3 linked regions of the Lonchura striata genome follow. The protein of the gene in region 2 purifies or fractionates together with the protein of the main gene of each other region. This does not show direct contact. Links are inferred from orthologs where the notes say so. Each region holds a gene or a part of one and is shown on either strand. Other genes may lie near its edges.

What was found.
Region 1: the proteins of FOXJ1 (region 2) and cyclin-dependent kinase 20-like purify together in Homo sapiens (affinity purification with mass spectrometry; 3 studies listed by BioGRID and IntAct, counting the BioPlex papers as one, with this or other methods). This does not show direct contact. The link is inferred for Lonchura striata from reciprocal best matches to the Homo sapiens genes FOXJ1 and CDK20.
Region 3: the proteins of FOXJ1 (region 2) and FBXO11 purify together in Homo sapiens (affinity purification with mass spectrometry; 3 studies listed by BioGRID and IntAct, counting the BioPlex papers as one, with this or other methods). This does not show direct contact. The link is inferred for Lonchura striata from reciprocal best matches to the Homo sapiens genes FOXJ1 and FBXO11.

What each region holds. Positions count from the first base shown.
Region 1 is NC_134638.1:2,109,963-2,117,633, forward strand, and holds the start of cyclin-dependent kinase 20-like, read left to right. Parts: upstream 1-4,607; 5' UTR 4,608-4,629; coding exon 4,630-4,704; intron 4,705-4,774; coding exon 4,775-4,888; intron 4,889-5,826; coding exon 5,827-6,015; intron 6,016-7,671. Other genes in the region: PORCN (protein-serine O-palmitoleoyltransferase porcupine), read right to left, coding at 1,703-1,746, 2,287-2,479, 3,870-4,005. UniProt on the Homo sapiens protein: Required for high-level Shh responses in the developing neural tube.
Region 2 is NC_134621.1:4,222,227-4,229,150, reverse strand, and holds the start of FOXJ1 (forkhead box protein J1), read right to left. Parts: upstream 3,040-6,924; 5' UTR 2,900-3,039; intron 2,230-2,899; 5' UTR 2,172-2,229; coding exon 1,683-2,171; intron 1-1,682. UniProt on the Homo sapiens protein: Transcription factor specifically required for the formation of motile cilia. Acts by activating transcription of genes that mediate assembly of motile cilia, such as CFAP157.
Region 3 is NC_134605.1:20,231,278-20,238,567, forward strand, and holds the start of FBXO11 (F-box only protein 11), read right to left. Parts: upstream 3,065-7,290; 5' UTR 2,756-3,064; coding exon 2,641-2,755; intron 2,066-2,640; exon of another isoform or gene 1,989-2,065; coding exon of another isoform or gene 1,973-1,988; intron 1-1,972. UniProt on the Homo sapiens protein: Substrate recognition component of a SCF (SKP1-CUL1-F-box protein) E3 ubiquitin-protein ligase complex which mediates the ubiquitination and subsequent proteasomal degradation of target proteins, such as DTL/CDT2, BCL6, SNAI1 and PRDM1/BLIMP1.

The DNA of each region.
Region 1 (7,671 bases), on a different chromosome or scaffold from region 2:
CGGCCCGGACGGGGACCCCGAGATGGGACCCCGGACTGGGGACCCCGAATTGGGGACCCCGAGATGGGACCCCGGATTGGGGACCCCGGATTGGGAACCCCGAATTGGGAACCCCGGATTGGGAACGGTCAGGGGACCCCGAAATGGGAACCCGGATTGGGAACCCCGAATTGGGAATCGTCAGGGGACCCCGAGATGGGACCCCGGATTGGGGACCCCGGATTGGGGACCCCGAGATGGGACCCCGGATTGGGAACCCCGGATTGGGGACCCCGAGATGGGACCCCGGATTGGGAACCCCGGATTGGGGACCCCGAGATGGGACCCCGGATTGGGAACCCCGGATTGGGAACGGTCAGGGGACCCTGAAATGGGAACCCCAAATTGGGAACAGTCAGGGGACCCCAAAATGGGAACCCCGAATTGGGAACCCTGAATTGGGAACCCTGAATTGGGAACCCCAAAATGGGAACTGTGAGGGAACCCTGAAATTGGGAACCCTTGAATTGGGCACCCCGAATTGGGAACGGTCAGGAAACCCCGAAATGGAACCCCAAAATTGGGACCGTCAGGGGACCCCGAAATTGGGAATGGTCAGGGGACCCCGAAATTGGGAACCCTGAAATTGGGAATCATCGGGGGACCCCGAAATTTGGAATGGTCAGGGGACCCCGAAATTTGGAACAGCCAGGGGACCCCGAAATTGGGAATCCCAAATTGGGAACCCTGGATTGGGAACCCCAAAATTGGGCACGGTCAGGGGACCCCGAAATGGGAACCCTGAATTGGGAATGGTCAGGGGACCCCGAATTGGGAACCCTGAAATGGAAACCCAGAAATGGGAACGGTCAGGGGACCCCGAAATGGGAACCCTGAATTGGGAACAGTCAGGGGACCCCAAATTGGGCACCCCCAATTGGGAACCCCGAAATTGGGAACCTCAAAATTGGGAACAGTCAGGGGGCCCCGAAATTGGGAATCCCGAAATTGGGAACCCCAAAATTGGGACCGTCAGGGGACCCCAAAATTGGGAAGCCCGAATTAAGAACCCCGAAAATGGGAACCCCGAAATTGGGAACCTCAAAACTGGGAACCGCAAATTGGGAACCACGAATTGGGAACCCCAAAACCGACGCCATCAGGGGACCCCAAAATTGGGAACCCCGGATTGGGAACCACAGAACCGAGAACCCCGAAATGGGAACCTCGAAATTGGGAACCCCAAAACCAGCACCGTCAGGGGACCCCGAAATTGGGACCTTGAGGGGACCCCAGAATTGGGAACCCCAAAATTGGGACCATCAGGGGGCCCCAAAATTGGGAACCCCGAATTGGGAACCTCTAAATGGGCACCCCGAAACTGGGAACCTTGAAATGGGAACCCCGAAATTGGGAACCCCAGAATGGGAACCCCAAAATTGTGAGCCCCAAAATGGGCACCCCAAAATTTGGACTGTCAGGGGACCCCCAAACCTGGAACCCTGACACCAGGAACCCCGAAATTGGGGGGACCCCAAAACTGGCAAATCAGTGCACCCCGAAACCTGGAATATTGGGAACCCTGACACGGGGTGGGGGGGGGGGTGGGTCGGGGGTCCCAGGGGGGATTTAGGGGTCCCAGGGGGATCTGGGGCTCCCGGGGGGGGGGTCGGGGTGTCCCGGGGTGATTTGGGGGTCCTGGGGGGGGGGTCGGGGGTCTCACCTCGCATCTTGTGCCACGTGACCGTGTCCACCATGTGCAGCTCCCTGGGGGGGCTCCCAGTCACTCCCAGTTCATCCCAGTGCCCTCATCTCCCTCCCAGTTCATCCCAGTGCCCCCCCATCTCCCTCCCAGTTCATCCCAGTGCCCCCCCATCTCCCTCCCAGTCGCTCCCAGTTCATCCCAGTGGCCCCAGTCCCTCTTCCAGTCCCTCCCAAAACACCCCCAAACCCCCTCCCAGTCCCCCCAGTGCCCTCCCAGTGTCCCCAGCCCCTCTCCCAGTGCCTCCCAGCACCTCCAAATAACCCCAAACCCCCTCCCAGTCCCCCCCAGTGGCCCCAGTGCCCTTCCAATGGCCCCAGTCCCCCTCCCAGTGTCCCCAGTCCCTCTCCCAGTGCCCTCCCATTGGCTCAGTCCTTCTCCCAGTCCCCCCAGTCCCTCTCCCAGTCTCTCCCAGTGTCCTCCCAGTGCCCCCAGTACCTCCCAGCACCCCCAAATCACCCCCAAACCCCATCCCAGTGCCCCCAGTCCCTCCCAGTGCCCCCAATCCCTCTCCCAGTGCCCCCAGTCCCTCGCGGTGCCCGCACCCCATGAGCAGGTAGCTGAGGGCGGCCAGGGCGAGGCAGAGGCCGCGGTGGGCGCGGGCCCGGCTCAGGAGCAGGGTGAGGACGCAGAGCGCGCTCAGCAGGGCCACCCACAGCGCCTGCGCCCCGAAGAAATGGTGCAGGGCCAGGAGCCCCCCGGCCGCTGCGCCCGCGTGCTTCCCGCCCCGCGGCAGCGCTGCGCCACAGCGGGTCAGCAGGGCGCCCGAGACACGGGCACCCGAACCCCGAAACCCCCGAGACCCAGGTACCCGAACCCTGAAACCCCGGAGACCCGAACCCCAAAACCCTGGGGACCCAAACCCCGAAACCCCGGGGACCCGAACCCCAAAACCCCGGGGACCCGAACCCTGAAATCCTGGGTACCCAAACCCCAAAACCCCCCAGACCCAGGTACCCGAACCCCAAAACCCCGGGGACCCGAACCCCAAAACCCTGGGGACCCAAACCCCAAAACCCCGGGTACCCAAACCCCAAAACCCCCGAGACCCGGGTACCCAAACCCCAAAACCCCAAAACCCCGAGGATACCCGAACCCCAAACCCCGGGGGCACCCAATCCCTGAAACCCGAAACCCCAGCAATCCCAAACCCGGGGTACCCGAACCCCGAAACCCCCGAACCCAGGGTACCCAAACCCCAAAACCCCAAAACCAGGGGATACCCAAACCCCAAAACCCGGGGTACCCGAACCCCGAAACCCCCGAACCTGGGGTACCTGAACCCTGAAACCCGGGGGTACCTGAACCCCAAAACCCCAAAACCAGGGGGTACCCAAACCCCGAATCCCCGGGGGTACCCGAACCCAGAAGCACCAGCACTCCCAAACCTGAGGTACCCGAACCCCGAACCACCCAAACCTGGGGATACCCAAACCCCAGAACCTGGGGTACCTGAACCCTAAACCCCAGGGGTATCCGAACCCCGAAACCCCAGGGTACCCGAACCCTAAACCCCCAAACCCGGGGGTACCCAAACCCCGAAACCCCCGAACCCGGGGTACCCGAACCCTGAAAACGGGGCTACCCGAACCCCCCAACCCGGGGTACCCGAACCCCGAAACCCCAAACCCCGGGTACCTGAACCCCGAACCCGGGGGCACCCAAACCCTGAAACCGCAAACCCGGGGGTCCCCGAACCGCCAGCACCCCCAAACCCGGGGGTCTCCTCACCCCAAACCCCGGGGGTCTCCTCACCCCAAACCCCGGGGGTCTCCTCACCCCAAACCCCGGAACCCCCGGGGGTCCCCCGACCCAAACCCAAACCCCTGCGCTACCCCCGGACCCCTCCCCAGACCCCCGGACCCCCCGAGCCCCTGGGACCCCTCCGGACCCCCGGATCCCCCCAGACCCCCAGAAAGCCTCAGAACCCCCAGATCCCCCCAAACCCCCTCAGACCCCCGGAACTCCCCGGACCCCCAAACCCCTGAAAGCCTCGGAACCCCCCAGACTCCCCCGGATCCCCCCAAACCCCCGGACCCCCGGAACACCCCGGACCCCCGGAATCCCCTAGACCTCCCCAGACCCCCGGGCCCCCCCGGAGCCCCGGTCCCGTCGCAGCCCCACTCACGCAGCCGGTGCAGCAGCCGCGCCCCGAGGCAGAGCAGCAGCAGCGGCCAGAGCTGGGCCAGGCCCTGCCGCGCCGTGGGCACCACGCAGCCGGGCAGCACCTGCGCCGCGAACTCTCGCGGAGGCAACGCCGCCATCCCGACCCCAGCGGGGCTCGCTGCGCGCCGGGACCCCCCAAAAAACCCCCCAAAACCCCAAAAAACCCCAAAAACCTCCCCGAACCCCCCGCCCGCGCCTCGCCCGGCGCCGCCGCCCGCCCGCCTGAGGGGAAAGGGGCGTGGCCCCCGCTCCCACCAATCAGCGCCCGCCGTCCCTCCCCGCGCGGCGGCGCCGACCAATCAGAGCGCAGCGCGGCCAAATGGCGGCGCGCGACGGGGCGGCCGTTGCCAAGGGCGGGGCGCGGTTGCCGGGGAGCGGGGGATGCCGAGGGGGCGTGGCCTGTTGCTAAGAGGCGTGGCTCTGTTGCTATGGGCGTGGCCTCGTTGCCGCTCTGCGTTGCTGGGGCCAACCGGGGGGGCGTGGCCTGTTGCCAGGGTGATGGTTGCTAAGGGGCGGGTCTAACCCCGCGCAGCATGTGTTGATTGGCTGTTTCCGGGGGCGGGGCCTGTTGCCGGGGTGATGGTTGCGAAGGGGCGTGGCCTCACCGCGCGGAGCGGGCGGCGATTGGCTGCGGCGCCGGGGGCGGGGCCTGTTGCCATGGCGGCGCGGCGCGGCGGGCGGCGCGGGGCAGTGTGGGCCGGCGGCGGGGCGCGCCCGGCGGGATGGAGCAGTACCTGGTGCTGGGCCGCATCGGCGAGGGCGCGCACGGCGTCGTGTTCCGGGCCAAGCACCGGCAGGTGCGGCGGGCACCGGGGGGCGGCAGCGGCGCCGCGGGGCCTGGCTGACCCGCCGCCTGTCCCCCGCCAGACCGGCGAGCTGGTGGCGCTCAAGAAGGTGCCGCTGCGGCGGCCCGAGGAGGGGCTGCCCCTGCAGACGCTGCGGGAGATCAAAGCGCTGCGGGAGATGGAGGCGCACCCGCACGTGAGTGAGCGCGAGGCAGGCCCAGTGCTCCCAGTTTGGTTCCCAGTCCCTCCCAGTCCCTCCCAGTCCCCCCTCAGTGCTCCCAGTTTGGTTCCCAGTGCTCCCAGTCCCTCCCAGTCCCCCCTCAGTGCTCCCAGTCCCTCCCAGTCCCCCCCCAGTCCCTCCCAGTCCCCCCCAGTGCTCCCAGCGCTCCCAGTCCCCTCCCAGTGCTCCCAGTGCTCCCAATTTGGCTCCCAGTGCTCCCAGTTCCCTCCCAGTGCTCCTACTCCCCCCCAGTCCCCCCCAGTCCCCTCCTAGTTCCTCCCAGTTTGGCTCCCAGTGCTCCCAGTCCCTCCCAGTCCCTCCCAGTGCTCCCAGTCCTCTCCCAGTCCCCTCCCAGTTCCCTCCCAGTCCCCCCAAATCCCCAGTGCTGTCCCCGCCCTCCTGCCCCCCCCAATTTCAGGGTCCCCGCCTTCTGCGGGTTCTTCTCCACCCCTGTTCCTGCCCCATGTCCCCGTGTCCCCCCAGCTCCGGTGTCCCCTTGACCCCCCGGTGTCCCCTCCCCCACCGGAGCCGGCTCCCGGTGTCACCGTCCCCGTTGTCCCCTCCCTGTCCCCTCTGTCCCCTCTGTCCCCTCTGTCCCCACTCTGTCCTCTCGCTGTCCCCGCAGGTGCTCTGGCTCTGTCCCCTCTCTGTCCCCTCTGTCCCCTCTGTCCCCTCTGTCCCCGCTGTCCCGCAGGTGCTCTGGCTCTGTCCCCGCTGATGTCCCCTCTGTCCCCGCTGATGTCCCCTCTGTCCCCTCTCTCTGTCCCCTCTCACTGTCCCCTCTCTCTGTCCCCGCTCTGTCCCCTCTCACTGTCCCCTGGCTGTCCCCTCTGTCCCCTCTCACTGTCCCCTGGCTGTCCCCTCTGTCCCCTCTCACTGTCCCCTCTGTCCCCTCTGTCCCCGCTGTCCCGCAGGTGCTCCGGCTCCGCGCCGCCTTCGCGCAGGGCCCCGCGGTGGTTCTGGCGCTGGAGCTGCTCGTGGCCGACCTTGGGGGGCTCCTGCGGGCGGCGCCGGCGCCGCTGCCCCCGGCGCGGGTGCGGGCGCTGCTGGCCATGACCCTGCGCGGGCTGGCACACCTGCACGGGCAGCGCCTGCTGCACCGGGTGAGCCCGCACGGGGATCGGGGACCCCGAAAACGGGATCGGGGACCCCGAAAAAGGGATCGGGGACCCCGAAAATGGGATTGGGGGCTCCAAATTTGGGATTGGGGACCCAAAAACGGGATTGGGGACACCAAAAATGGGAGTGGGGACACAAAAAATGGGATTGGAGACCCCGAAAATGGGATAAAGGACCCCGAAAATGGGATTGGGGACCCCGAAAATGGGATCGGGGACCCCGAAAATGGGAGTGGGGACCCCGAAAATGGGAGTGGGACCCCGAAAATGGGAGTGGGGACCCCGAAAACGGGATCGGGGACCCCGAGAACGGGAGTGGGGACCCCGAAAATGGGATTGGGGACCCCGAAAACGGGATCGGGGACCCCGAAAATGGGATTGGGGACCCCGAAAATGGGAGTGGGGACCCCGAAAATGGGATTGGGGACCCCGAAAATGGGAGTGGGGACCCCGAAAATGGGATTGGGGACCCCGAAAATGGGATTGGAGACCCCGAAAATGGGATTGGGGACCCCGAAAATGGGATAAAGGACCCCGAAAATGGGAGTGGGGACCCCGAAAATGGGATAAAGGAACCCAAAATGGGATCGGGGACCCCGAAAACGGGATCGGGGACACAAAAAATGGGATCCGGGACCCCGAAAATGGGATTGGAGACCCCGAAAATGGGATCGGGGACACAAAAAATGGGATCGGGGACCCCGAAAATGGGATCGGGGACACAAAAAATGGGATTGGGGACACAAAAAATGGGATCGGGGACCCCGAAAATGGGATAAAGGACCCCGAAAACGGGATCGGGGACCCCGAAAATGGGATTGGGGACCCCGAAAATGGGATCAGGGACACAAAAAATGGGATAAAGGACCCCGAAAATGGGATAAAGGACCCCGAAAATGGGATCGGGGACACAAAAAATGGGATTGGGGACACAAAAAATGGGATCGGGGACACAAAAAATGGGATCGGGGACCCCGAAAACGGGATTGGGGACCCAAAAAATGGGATCCGGGACCCCGAAAATGGGATAAAGGACCCCGAAAATGGGATCGGGGACACAAAAAATGGGATAAAGGACCCCGAAAATGGGATAAAGGACCCCGAAAATGGGATAAAGGACCCGAAAATGGGATTGGGGACCCCGAAAATGGGATAAAGGACCCGAAAATGGGATAAAGGACCCGAAAATGGGATTGGGGACCCCGAAAATGGGATAAAGGACCCGAAAATGGGATTGGGGACCCCGAAAATGGGATTGGGGGCTCCAAATTTGGGATTGGGGACCCCAAATTTGGGATTGGGGACCCAAAAACGGGATTGGGGACACAAAAAATGGGATTGGGGACCCAAAAAATGGGATTGGGGACGCAAAAATGGGATCGGGGCACCAAAAATGGGTTTGGGGACCCCGAAAATGGGAGTGGGGACCCCAAAAATGGGATTGGGGACCCCAAATTTGGGACTGGGGACCCCAAAAATGGGATTGGGGACCCAAAAATGGAATTGGGGACCCCAAAAATGGGATTGGGGACCCCAAAAATGAAAGTGGGGACCCCAAAACATGGGACTGGGGACCCAAAAATGGGAGTGAGTACCCTAAAACCGGAATGGGGGACCCCAAAACCGCGGTGGGGCACCCCA
Region 2 (6,924 bases):
GTAGTGCCGAATAGGAAAAACAAGGCTCAATTGCTTAGAGCTGTTGAAAAACATGCACACACACACACACACAACAAAACCCTCCTCTGGGCTGAAGCTCCTTGGGTTTGTTGGCTCCTCTCCAAAGCACTCAGCTCCCACAGGAATATATCCATCTCCCCCCAGACTATGGGTGGCATGACCTTTCCAGGCTGTCTTCACGTACGGGAATCGGGATAGGGGATGAGAACACAGCCTCGACAAGAAAGAAAAGAAAAAAAAAAAGAGAGAAAGGAAGGGGGAAAAAAAAAGTGAAAAGAAACAAAAGATTTAAAAAAAAGAAAAGAGAAGAAAGAAAAAGCAGGAACACAGATATTCCCCCACACAATCCAGGCTGTGGTAACTCCAATTTTACTGTGTAATGAAATTTTACGAGGATCAGAGGCTTGAAAGCTGAATTCTCTGCTGCCCATCTCTCCTCCCCTTCCCAAACTTCGCTCAGCCCAGGCTGAATTATTACTCAGCCAGTCAACATATTTATCATTCCTGCCTGCAACGGTCCAGGATACCCCCTGCATCTCTGCAGAGAGGGATTGAAAACCTTCTTTCTTTTTTTAATGAACACATTTAATTAAAAATGTTGCAAATTCCCAGCCATGAAGTGTGCAGGAGAAAGTCAACCTGTTGGCACCCAGCTCCTGCTTCCAAATCACTTTCATAGGAGTGTAAGAGGGGGACTAAGATGGCCATGGAGGGGGACCAGGAATGTTTCCTTCCCCATGATGGGCTTCAAGAGCCACTGGAGACCCACCTGCCTGGAGAGAAGGTGGGCAATGCCTGAGCTTTGCAGTGGGGTTCTCCAGCTCTGCTTGGATGGGCACTGCCATCAGGATTAGCGACACGCTGCAGATTTGGGATGGGAATAACCCCAGTGGAGGGATGAGCCCCCCAGGGCCCTCCAGCCCTGCCATATCCCAGAAAATCTCACGTGCCAGAGGTCTCCTCGTGTGACAGAGGAGGGCAGTGAGCCAAGGTGGCTGGGAAAGCCCCTGGGCTGTCCCCAAAGCTTGTGAGCCCGGGGGCTGTCACCTCCCCACTGGGGACATGCTCTGCTAGCTGAGGACAGCAGCTCGAGTTAACCCCTCTTGGGCTTCCCTCTGCAGGTCTCACCAGCTCATCCCAGTGATGGAGCCTCCTTGGCTTGTCCCTGGTGCCAGGAGCCCAGTACTCTGCCCTGCTTAGAAACCAGCAGCATTTCTGCTCAGAACCTCCCCAGTGGGAGACTTGTCCAACAAGTGGCATCTCCATCCCTGGTTTTCAGCACCCAGGGACACTCGACCTGGCACCTTCTCCACGTGTGCTCAACCCTGAGGGACTCCATGAGAACTCCAGGAATGTAGGGACCAAAAGGCCTTTGCCCTGAAGCCAAGAGGAGTCTCAGGTGCCAGGAGCCCAACGAGTGCCTCCCTGCTCCCAAAATGGTCCTGGGCTCTCCCCCCAAATGGCTCCTTCCCTCTGCCCCCCCCGGGGCCGTGGCATTTGTGCCCAGCCAAGTTCTTTCCCCTTCCAGCCCTTCCCCACTGGAGTCACTCTTTTCCCAGTGGGATCCAGCACCCCTGCATGATCTCGTCTTGCAGAGTGGAGGTTGTGGAAAGCCCTGCTCAGCCCTGCAGGGAGAGTGGCCACGGCTCCACATCTCCTACCTGCCAGGTGGGATCAGCGTGTCGGAAGTAGCAGAAGTTGTCAGTAATCCACTTGTAGATGGCAGAGAGGGTGATTTTGGGTTTATTGCTGGCTTCCATGGCCATGCAGATGAGGGTGGCGTAGGAGTAGGGTGGCTTGACATGAGGGTTGGTCTTGTAGTCGATGTCCCCTGCCAGATGAGGGGGCACAGCCAGGTCGTGGTGCGTGGTGGAGGAGGTGGAGGAGGAGATGGGCGTGCAGGGGGTGTGGCGTGTGCCCTTGCAGGCCGGGTCAGCAGCCAGGGGTGAGCACGGGGACTCAAAATCAACCAGGCTGAACAGACTCTCACTCATGGTGTAGCAATCCTGGGGGTCTGAGCCAGAGTATAACTGAGGCAGGCCAGTCTGGGCCACTGTGAAGTCCCTCAGCCACATGAGGTCTGGCAGGCTGTCATCCAGGTCTTCCTCCAGTTTGCCCTTGGCTTTCAGTGCTCGGCTGGGCCACGCCATGCCTCCCTCAGTGCTTCCCAGGCTGCACGTGAACGGGAGGGAAGGGATGGGGCAAATCCTGCAATAACAACAGGGACAGGGGTGAGGTTCCACAAGGTGCAGCCTCTGACAGCCAGGCAGGGCCAGCTCTGGGTGCTCCCGGCATTGCTGGGTGAGACCCATCCCTGGTGTGCTCTGCAAGGGACCTGCAATGCCTGCCCCGAGGGGCTTTAGCACCCTCAAACCTCGGGGAAATTCCCTCAAACTCCTACACCGCAGTGTCACCCACCAACCCGCTGCCCAGCAAGCTCTCAGCTGAATAAAGAATTTAAAAAAAAAAACACAACAGAAAACACCTCAAAATACCAAAATCGAGCCCTGCCATCCCAAAAAGTCAGGATATTTCTTGGGAACACACATCTCTGAATACCTAGCACTCACAGGACTAACTCTCAGCATTCCACACCAGGGCAAAATACTTCGAAATTTCCCCCCTCGCAGCCAACTTCTCTCAATTTGATGCTATTTCTGCTTTTACTTCCTGTGCTACCCAGAAACAACTCAGGGGTGGTTTGGGGGAACTGGGGGGGTCCCACCCCAAGCACACCCGCAGTCAGAGCGAGCCCGCTTCAGACTTTGGGGAGTCCTGTGTCGGGGATGTGAATGCAAACCCGAAATCCCGAGCGTTTGGGCCGGGAGGACACATAACCAAAGCCGCTCCCCCGCGCAGACCCGCCGCATCCCCTTACCCCGTCCCGGTGTCGCTGTCGTCCCCCGAGAGGCAAAGTTCACGACACGCTAAGAAGCTTCTGGAAAAACTGGAGAGGACGGGGAAAAAAATACCAAAAAATTACAAAAAATAAGAGGGGAGGGGGGAGGACGAAAAGCAACGGGGAAAGAGAGCCCCGGTGGGTGTGGGGCCGGGCCGGGCCGTGCCCGCCGAGCCGCCGGGAGCCGCGGCCGCCCCGCCGGGTTAAGTAGCGGCTCCGGGAGGCGTCGCGCGTCGCCACGGCAACGCCCCGCCCCGTCAACATCCTCCGGGCTCGCCATTGGCCCGCGCGTTGCCATGGCGACGGGGGCGGTGCCCGCGGGGCCCCGCCCAGCCCGGGGCGGTCGGGGGATCCGGGGTCACCGTATCGATCGCCTTATCACCTTATCACCTTAGCAATCACCTTGTAACCCCTTTATCCCCTTATCAATCGCCTTATCACCTTATCAATCTCCTTATCACCTTATCAATCACCTTACCACCTTATCCCCTTATCAATCACCTTATCACCTTATCAATCACCTTATCACCTTGTCAATCGCTTTATCCCCTTATCAATCACCTTATCACCTTATCTATCACCTTATCAATCACCTTACCACCTTATCCCCTTATCAATCACCTTACCACCTTATCCCCTTATCAATCACCTTATCCCCTTATCAATCACCTTATCACCCCCTTATCAATCACCTTATCAATCACCTTATCCCCTAATCACCTCATCAATCACCTTATCCCCTTATCAATCACCTTGTAACCACTTTATCCCCTTATCAATCGCCTTATCACCTTGTCAATCACCTTATCACCTTGTCAATCACTTTATCCCCTTATCAATCACCTTATCACCTTATCTATCACCTTATCAATCACCTTACCATCTTATCCCCTTATCAATCACCTTATCCCCTTATCAATCAGTTTATCACCTTATCTATCCCCTTACCAATCACCTTATCAATGACCTTATCACCTTCTCAATGACCTTATCACCTTATCGCCCTATCACCTTCTCACCTTATCAATCACCTTATCCCCTTATCAATCACCTTATCACCTTATCAATCACCTTATCAATCTCTTTATCACCTATCACCCTATCCCCTTATCACCTTATCCCCTTATCAATCACCTTATCCCCTTATCAATCACCTTATCACCTTATCAATGACCTTATCACCTTATCTATGGCCTTATCACCTTATCGCCTTATCAATGACCTTATCAACTTATCAATCACCTTATCAATGACCTTATCACCTTCTCAATGACCTTATCACCTTATCGCCCTATCACCTTCTCACCTTATCAATCACCTTATCCCCTTATCAATCACCTTATCACCTTATCAATCACCTTATCAATCTCTTTATCACCTATCACCCTATCCCCTTATCACCTTATCCCCTTATCAATCACGTTATCAATGACCTTATCACCTTATGTATCACCCTATCACCTTATCTTATCACCTTATCCCCTTATCCCCTTATCAATCTCCTTATCACCTTATCAATCACCTTATAACCTTATCACCTTATCCCCTTATCAATCACGTTATCAATCTCCTTATCCCCTTATCAACCACCTTATAACCTTATCACCTTATCCCCTTATCAATCACCTTATCACATTATCAATGACCTTATCAATCTCTTTATCACCTTATCACCCGATCCCCTCCTGGCGGCTTTTCGGCCCCCCAGGGCAGCCGTGAGCAGGCTGGGGAGGGACTTTGGCCGTGTGGCGATAGGAAAAAGGACAATGGCTTCGAAGGTAAGGAGAGCAGCTTTAGACTGGATCACAGGACAGGTTGTTTGAGGCTGGCGGGACAGGCTGCTCAGAGAAGCTGTGCATGGAATAGCTCGAGGCCGGGTTGGAAGGGGATCCCAGCAGCGTGGGATAGTGGAAGGTGTCCTTGCCTGTGGTGTGGGGGGGCTGGAACTGGATGATCTTTGATGTCTGTTCCAACCCAAACCGTTTGTGATTCTATGAACGCCTGAGTCCTGCCCCTCCAGGGGCAACCCCAGCCCTTTTCCTCCTACCTGTGCCCCCATCCCATTTCTTGCTCCTGATGTTCCCACAGCAATGAGGGCAAAGCTGAAGGTGGGCTGGCAGACTCCAAAAATAAAGGATGGAGTCTGCCTTCACTTAATTAAAAAATTACAGCCACTGGCTTCTCTAAGAATTCCCTACCCCCTAACTGCTGTTCTGAGAGCTTTATCAGAGGCCAGGGAGGGACCCCTTTGAAGGATCTGACCATCTGCAAGACATTCCCCCCGAGCTTGCTCAGTCATGGGTTGGACTCGATGATCTTAGAGGCCTTTTCCAATCTGATTGATTCTGACTCTGATTCAGCTGCAAGTTGCTTTGCCCCACCATCATCAGCCCCTTCCACTAAACCCAAAATATAACCCCCCTTACAGCCCTCCTCACCTTCAAGCCTTCAGCTCTCAGCACACATTTTCTTCCCCACCACTGGAGGGGTTTCTCTGGCATGTGTTCCCAGCTCTTTGTTGCTCCTCTTCTCCCCCAGGAAAAGTTCCCTCTGGGTGTCCTCATCCATCCCAGCAGTGACAGGGGCCACCCACACCACAGAGCAGGAAGATGCCTCTACCCCAGGCCAGACTTCCTGCAGAGGTTTAGTTTGCATTTGCCCCTTCTCCATCCTGGCAGTATTTAGGATAGTTGGGAATGCAGGTTGAGAAGTGTTTTAGGACATTTGGATCAGCTGGGCTGTTTTGGAGAAGGTGCCTGGGTGACAGGTGAGTGGGTGCTCCCAGCCAAAAAGGGTTTTTACACACCACATCCCCCAAACCCTGACTGCCCTCACCCTGCCACCACAAAATGACTCTGGACACTTCGTCCACGTAAGATACCCTTTATTAAACATACTCTTAAAATCCAAAACATGCTCAAAGCAAAATCATAAGCAGCAATCTGGTTTCCTTCCTTAAATCCCTGACACGTGGGTCGCTGGAACAAGGGGCTGCCACCTTCCAGCCCACGCCGCGCTGGCAGCTCCTGCCTGCCCCTTGTCCCTTCTGGGTGGCCGAGGACGGCACTGATGTCACCCACGCCCAAATCCCGTCTCTCCTGTGCCACCCAGAGGATGGATTCCTTGCTGGCAGCCAGGCAGCAGCACCGCTCGGCCACAGCATCCTCCCGGCTCCTCTCCACCCAGCGCCCACCCCGTGTGTTTGTCTGGCCGCTCCTGCAGCCTTCTCACCGCTCCGAGGAGCCAGAAAACCCTCACGGTCTCTCCTAAGTCCTCCTTGTTCTGCTGGCAGCCACAAGCAGCCTGTGCCAGGGTGCCAGGCCAGCTGTCCTTGTCCCCTTTGAAACCACGAGGAAGGTGGGCTTTGGTAGAGGAGATGCTCCTGGAGCATCAGCCCGGTTCTCTCTCCCCTGCCCGTGCTGAGACTTAGGGGAGAGATGGCTGCCGTGGTTTTCTCAGCTCAGCACGACCTCCAAAGCTCTCCCTGTGTGGTGCTGTGGCTCCTTCAGGCTGGGACACCCAGCACGTCCCCCCAAACAGGGCACAAGGCTTGTCCCCACCACTTCAGCCCTCCCTGCTGTTTGCAGCTCCCACCTCGCATGCCACAGGATGGCCTTTTGGAGATGTCACCCCCCTCACATCAAGCGCCCAGCCCTGGGGTCCCAGGGAGGAATTTGGGAGCTGTTGAGCTTAGAGGAGACACAGCCAGCCCAGAGGAGAGAGCAGTGGGATGGCTGGCTCCAAACCCACCTCTGGCAGGACCCACAGTGGGGCCACAGAGCAAGCAGCTACCATGGCTTTGGCTGTGAGCCAGCCAGAGAAAACACCCCCAGCTCCAAAAAGGGCTGCACCCCTCTTTGGGAGCCACAGCCATCATCAGCACAGCCTGTGGGGGTGGCACTGGGAACCTGCTTCCCACACCACCCCCTCCAGGGATGCTGCTTTCAGTGCACGAACATCTCTGTGCTAAGGTGGCTCTGAAACACAGCTGTGTCCTGCAAAGA
Region 3 (7,290 bases), on a different chromosome or scaffold from region 2:
TAGGCATCATAACTTGATTTTTACCCAGTAGTGAACATGTAACAGCTGTTACTCAGTTGTAAAACACTGTCTACTTACAGAGCATTAAATAATAAATAAAGCTCAAGACCTAGTACATGTTTTACTAAGAAATCTAATGATATGAAACAAGAAGTTCCAAAGATTAACCGTGAACTGTATTATCAACTCTGTCCCATGATATCTGTGCCTTAAGTACAGAGCTGTAATATGAAGGAGGAAAGAAATTAACAGTAACAAAAAATAATTCCTGTTCAGTCATAGCTGCATTCACAGTATTAGGAGGTTTTTTTTTTTTTTAACAAATTTAAATCTGAGTTCAATAGAAACCATTTCCTAATAACTTATACTGATTCTTTTGTGCAGCTTTTTTTAGGATGACCTACATTGCTTGGGAATAAAGGTGAAAAAAGTCAACACTGATTTGCATGGTACAGTCTAACCCCAGCACACTGGCTTTTAATTTAGTAGCATTATTCATCAGCCTTTACTGCAATAGCCCTGCACAAAACGACCAAAGTCACAGGTAAAACTGAAATTACCTTCCAGATACAGTGGATCAGACCTTGCAAATCCTGAGATAGAACGGAAACAGCACTAGAGACACCCCAAATGCAGATGGAACACTAATGACAAAAAAACCTTAATGCTGTCGATACATTTTTGGGCAAGTGGGACCTAGCACAATTGACCTTCAAAACTGCAAGGAAAAAGCTAGCAGTGATCCACATGGAACGGTAATTTTCACAAACCATGGAATTTGATTTTGTTATAATTTCATCACCACTGAATGGTCAACAGCACAGAACAATGTGGAAGAAAAAATAAAATTAGGTGAGTCTAGAGTTCCAGAAATGTCAGGGTAATACAAACACACTGCAGCCTCACATTTTAATAGAGAAAGTTTCTGCCTGTATCTTTAGCAAATTAGTAACATATGAACAGCGGCAATCCAACGTAAAACTGAATAATAATCACTGCATTTAATCCATAAGCACATCATTCTGGATGCCTTTTATAAGTTGTATTTTCATCTGTTTAAAAGGCAAAGTAAGCCATGGGGTTGGAAAAAATCCCTATATTCTCCAAATGGAACGTCGATGAAGAAGACCCTTTAGTGCACGTCTTTGAGAGGAAGAAGTTCTTTTTTTGTTGTTGTTTTGCTTTATTTTCCGTGTTGTTGTTTTTCTTTTAAATGTCAGTATACCAGAGAAGTCATTTTAATCATATAATTACTGAAAATTTTGGAAGGTTTACACAAGACCCATAATTGGGCATAAGACATCACATCCTCTGGTTATATACACAGCAATCTGGTCTGGGTAACATTCTTTGCTCTGACCAATGTGTGCGAGGGGGAGGCGGGGGAAGGAAGGGGAGGGAGGGGGAGGAATGGAGAATTAAAAATACTTCCTCAGATTCAATTTTCTTTACTTCATTTACTTAAAATGTTCTGATTGCATAAAATGCACTAAAATATTTATCGCGACGCATCTCCGTGGTTAAAATATCTTGTTCTCAATGTGATATCATAGATATTCAAACAAAAGACATTTAGCTGACAATGAAGCCCTTTTTTTTTTTTTTTTTTTTTTTTTTTAAATTTAAAAAAGGCATTCGTACACCTAAGACCGCACCACGGATCAGTCTCCTTTATCACGCCGGAGTTGTGACAGGTAACGCATAAAAAATTAAAATCCAATCCACCAGATAAGACATGCAAAATGTCTCCTCCAATCCCACCCCCATCTCGCCTTAGAAAGAGAAAAAAAAAAAAAAAAAAAAAAAAAAAAAAAAAAAAAAAAGCCCAGCCACCACCAGTCCTGCACATTCGGAGCACACACACAGTGGCACCCCCAGAGCCACCACTGGGGCGACAGCGACAGGCCCGAGGGGCCGCCAACCCGGAGCTCCCCCGCACCCCTCTCCTGGCTCCATGAGGGGCGAATCCCACCTCGCCGCTTCCTCATGCCCTCACACAATGGTGCTTTCCCCCGCTAGCTCCGAATTGTCAACATTTTCACGCTAGGCCCCGGCCGGGCAGGGCTGGGGCGCGGGCGGCCCGAGTCCCCGCCGCGGCGCGGGGGCCGTGCGGCCGGGGGGATCAATGGCCGACGGGCCGCGGCCCCCCCGCCGGCGCCGGGGCCGGAGCCCGAACTGCGCAGCAGGCGCGGCGCAGCGGGCCCGGCCCCGCGGAGCCTCGGCCAGACCCGGGGCCGCCGCCCCCGGACACCATTTCGGGGAAGGTGCCGCCGCAAGCGGCCCGACACCGTCGCCTCCCCCCGCCCCGCAGCCCCCCGGGCGCTCTCCCCCCGCGGCCCTCGGGGCCCGGCCCGCCGCTCCCCGCGGGAGGCACCGGTGTTCCCGGGGGGCCAGGGCGGCTCGCCCGCTCGCGGTCCCCGGGGACGGGGCGGGGGCTCGGGGGGGGCGTCCTGTCCCGAGGGGCCGCGGGCGATCGTCTCCCCCCATCCCCGGCCGGGGAAGGGGCCGAGCCCCCGCCTCCCCCCGAGCCGGGGCAGAGCCCGAGCCAAACAAAGCGCGGCCTGAGCGGGAGCCAAGGGTGAAGCAGCCTGGGCTTTTCCTGCCGGTCCCCGCGCAGGGCGGGCCCCGAGCCCGGCTTACCCCGATCCCCGGCGGCGGCGGCGGCGGCGTTGTTCCTCTCCTGCTGCTGCTGCTGCACCGGGCGCGGCCTGGACACTCGCCTGGGTCTCCTGTTGGCGGCTCGGACCGAGTTCATTTGCCGGCTCGTGTGGGCGGCGGGAGGGGAGGGGGGAATCCTCCGGCAACCGGTGCCTCGGCGGGGACGGGGGCACTCGGAGGGAGCCCCGGGGCGGCCGCCTCGCAGGCGCGGGCAGCAGGGAAGGGCGGGGGGGAAATCTCCGGGCGCGGGTCCCGCTGCCGCTGCCGGCTCGCTCGAAGGCAGAGGAGCCGCCGGCTCTCTCAGCGCTGCTGTGGGGGACGATGGCGCCGCGCCCCCCCCGTCCCGGCCCCCGGCGATCCCGCGGTCCTGCCCGGCTCAGGCCCGTCGCTGCTCCGTGGCAGGAGGAGCCATTGACACCGCCAGGGACGCGCTCGCGAGCGGGCGGCCGTTGGGCGGCCGTGCTCCGCCAATCGGCTCGCCCGACACAAACGGCCGGAGCCGGCGCGGCCAATCTGTGTATCCGTACTATCGGTGCGCGGGTTGGGGCGGGGCGGGCGGGCGGCGCGGCGCGGGGTGGGGCGGTCCGAGTCCAATAAAAGGCCGGGGCCGCCCGTGTGGAGCGGCAATGGCGGCGCTCGGGCCCGGGCGCGCTGGCAGCGGCTCCCGTGAGGGGCCGGCGCGGCCCAGGGCAGCCCGGAAGCCGCCGGGCTCGGCGGCAGCAGGCGGGCAGCGGCGGGTCCCGGCGGGCTCCGCTCCGGCCGTGTGTGATGAAGGAGAGAGGGCGGGCGTCTGGCGACGGTGCCTTGTTGTGGTGCCGTGTGCCTTGGTAACCCTGCCCGGATTAGCCGTGCTGTGGCTGCCGGCTCGTTTCGGTTTCCTGACTGGTTGTTAACTATTTTTTTCCCTCTGGATTTGTGTGTATTTTCTCGGCTGGTGTGCCCAGTCGTGTTTGTGCTGCGTTTTGATAATGCCCTTTATTTTGGGCTTTAGACAAGTGCATGAGGCTTTTCCTCCTTTATTCTATTTGTTGTGTTGGTGCTCAGCTGATGGCCTCAGAGCAGGGAAGAGAAGTAAACGGAGCTAGCTGTGATCTTTTTCCTTTTCAGGAGTCACATAATAAAATGGATGGCACAACCTAAGCAGTGAGGAAGAGATCATCTCTTTGTGGGGTTGCTCAGGAATCTGCTTCTAATGTTGTGAAGGTGGGTTTGTGTGGAGTCCTACTTAAACTAAGCTCTGGGAGCTTCTGGAACCAGGGCCCTTGTCTATGCCTGAAAAGTAAAAGAGTGTTATGTGGTAGAAAATGTAAATAAATGATGGTAATTAAAAACACATTAGGTATGAGCTTGTTTCAAGCTGACTAATGAAGGTATAATAATATAGCTAAAGTAAATGACAGCTTTTAGAAAGAAGCTTTAAAAAACACTTGTGATTTGAAAGGAAATGACAGTGACATTCTAATTCTCAGTTCATATTAGACCAAATATAAATGTATGAGAAATCTCAGTAGTTGTTAAGGAGCACTTTTTAGACTTAACATTTTGTTGCCTTAAAGAATGACTGGAGAAACAGTGGAGGATGTCTGAGAGAAATAATTCTTGCCAACTTCCCTGATATTAGAGGAAGAGATAATGAAGTTAAGCTCCTGTGAGAAGACTTTTGTAGGGAAAAAGAATATAAACATCAGTCTGTTTGGAGGCAGTTTCTGTCATAATGATTATTGGCTATGTTACTGAAGATTCTGTAGAGCTACATAATTACATGTAAATATAATTGAAATATTTTTATTTTTGGTAGTAGCATTGTGAAACTCTGCTTCAACTCTTGAACAGGAAGAATAACCCTACCCAAGTATTGTGCTGAACTTACTGTGTCATGGTTAAGGGCTTTTTCCCTCCTCACTAGGAACTTCTAATCTTTAAACTGGAGTATTTCAACTATTTGAATCCCTAGCTGTTCTAGTTATGCTCTCTTCGCCAAGCAAATGAATTCTTGGTGTCACAAGATTATCTGAAATTTCTCAATGTAGGTATACTCCAAAAGTTTAGTGCTCTTAGTCTTTGAAAGCTTGTTCAAGGATGGATGACAAGCTGATTTTCACATACAACCTTCAAGAATCTAAAAGTTCTGATACTAGAATAACACATTATTTAATTGAAGCAAGCTCTAAACTTTCTTAATAAGTCTTGCACTGGTTTGAAACCGAATGGTCTCTTGGCCTATAAAAACACTTTCTGTAATTAGCTCTTTAAGGTCCAAGGTGTGCCTTCACTGACAACCAAAATAGATAGAGGGCAATCTATAGATGTTTGGGATAAATGGTCCGAGTTGATACAATGAGAACCTCATGCTGAATTATACAGACTTGATTCAATAAATTACTGGCGCAGAAAAAGTGATTCCTCTAAGTATTCAGTGTTTGCTTACAAGGCATGGAGTAAAGAAATACTTGCAGTACTCTTGTCTGACATTCTTGGCTGTACTTCAGAAGGCCAAACAGTAGAAAGCCTGAAAACTCATCAAAACATTATTGACTAAATCTCTGTATCTCTTCTCACAGCTGTTAAATGTATCCTGTCTGGGACTTGGTCATAATTTCAGGTTTGTTTGTCAGTCTTTAAAATGTTCTACTCAGCCATCCTGTGTCTCCCTTGCTGCTGTAAAGCCTCTGAGAAGGAAAACACCATTCTGTGATAGAAATGGCATTGAAAGCCTAAATTAATAATTGGGGCTTCATTGTGTTGACCACTGTGGAGGTGCTTTAAGCTATCCTGTATGATGTGCTAATAAGCCATTCCTGAATGTGGGTGTGATTTATACTGGCAAGATAATTTTGCCTTTGTCAAAACAGCTTTTTCTTTATTTAAATTGGGAAGAGAGGGAATGGGAAGTGGAGCTAAACTGTACAGTGATCTTTTTACATAATTGTTGACAATAGAAATGCTTGCTGGGCTGGTTATGTTGGCCACAAATCACCTTTTGGTGACCCTTGAACAGCCTGACATTATGAACAGAAAAAGGTGTAAGACCTGGGTGAAGAGCTTGCTTGGAGCATTTATAGCATAAGCAATTTGGACAGAGTTGTCAAGTGCTAGCTCATCATATTCAGACCATCTTCTAAGCTGCACTGAACTTCAAATGAGTGTCTATTTAAATGTTAATGATAACTGGTTCTCTGTTTCTTGAAGAGTTGGCTGTTGCTTTGAAGAGATCACCTTCCTTCCTGCATGAAGGAAGAGATGCCACAGAGTGCTTAATGATAACAGTAACTTGTTAATTATGTGTTAACATAGAATGGTTAGAGATGAGGCAGCTTTACAGAGAGATGTAGTGCAAGTTGTCATGGAGGGGATTCCTGTTTGTGAGGGTGATATGCAGAGACAGCAGGAACAACTTTGAGTCAGCTGACTTTCTCTAAAGTGAAGACAGTTAAAACAACTTAAATATCAAGATAGTGTATCAGTGTTTCTTTTCTAGAATCTGAGTATTGCTGTTAGATTAGAGGTGGTGGGGTCACAGAATAAGCAGGACTGGGAAATTACAATGAGACAGTGCAAAGTGGTAAATCAGCAAGGCTGATTGAGGCCAGGGTGATCTGCAGGAATCACCCCTATTTTATTCTATTTAATGTATATATCTACTAGTAGCCTGAAAAGCCTTGCTTCAGAACCTATTAGAAATCCTTTGAGTGTGGGGCAGATTCATTTAAGTTGTCATGATCCATCCTTACCCTGAAGATGTGGGTATTGCTTTAACAGTTGATCAAAACAAGTCTAGGATAACAGATGTCAATGAATCTGTGAATTACTTCTAAGGGGTTCACAAAACATAAGTAAGGACAGCCTTCAACTTGTATATGATGGCCTAAAGCTCTACTTCAAAATTATTCAGAAACAGTGACTTTGAAAATGGAAAAAAAAATAAAACCCAGTGAATTTTTGGCTTTTATTTAAGTCAAATACACAATATTCTCTCTAGCTTTTGCTTCCTAATACTTGTGAGAGAACAAAAAATATTTTGAGAATATAGTTATAGTTAATTATGCAGAGCCTTTACCTACAGTTTGTGGATTTGAACAAGAAATACAAGGAGTAATTTTTTTATTATACTTATTAATTGATTCAAATGGTTTTGCAAAGGAACCACGTCTCTCCCTCCCTGTATGGATGAAAATGAAGCAGAAAGGGCTGAAATGACTTGTCCAAGAGCATTTCCAGGCTATTAACAAGGCTATGAACAGAACCCAGGGTACAGGAGTCCTTACGGAAGGCTTTCTCCATGGTATCATGTTACTGCTTTCAGAAGTATAAGAATTTTGCCTATTATTTCTAACCATCTCATATGCTGTTAACATGTCTCTAGACTAAAAATACTGCATTGAAGATTTGGGACTGACCCAGTGTGAATTTCTGACTTGTAGGTCTTTAAACTTAGAGGGTTGTTTCTCCTGAGATTGCAATATGTGGACCTTTCAGAAATAGCTAATGATACCTAGAACTGGTTGAACATGCTTGATGTGCAGCTCAAAAATTCCAATGTCATTTTGTCACAATGTCTCTGACCCTCTGTTCCTCTTAATTGTGTTTTATAACCCATCTCATGCAGCCAGAATCTTCCCACTCTTGCAGAAA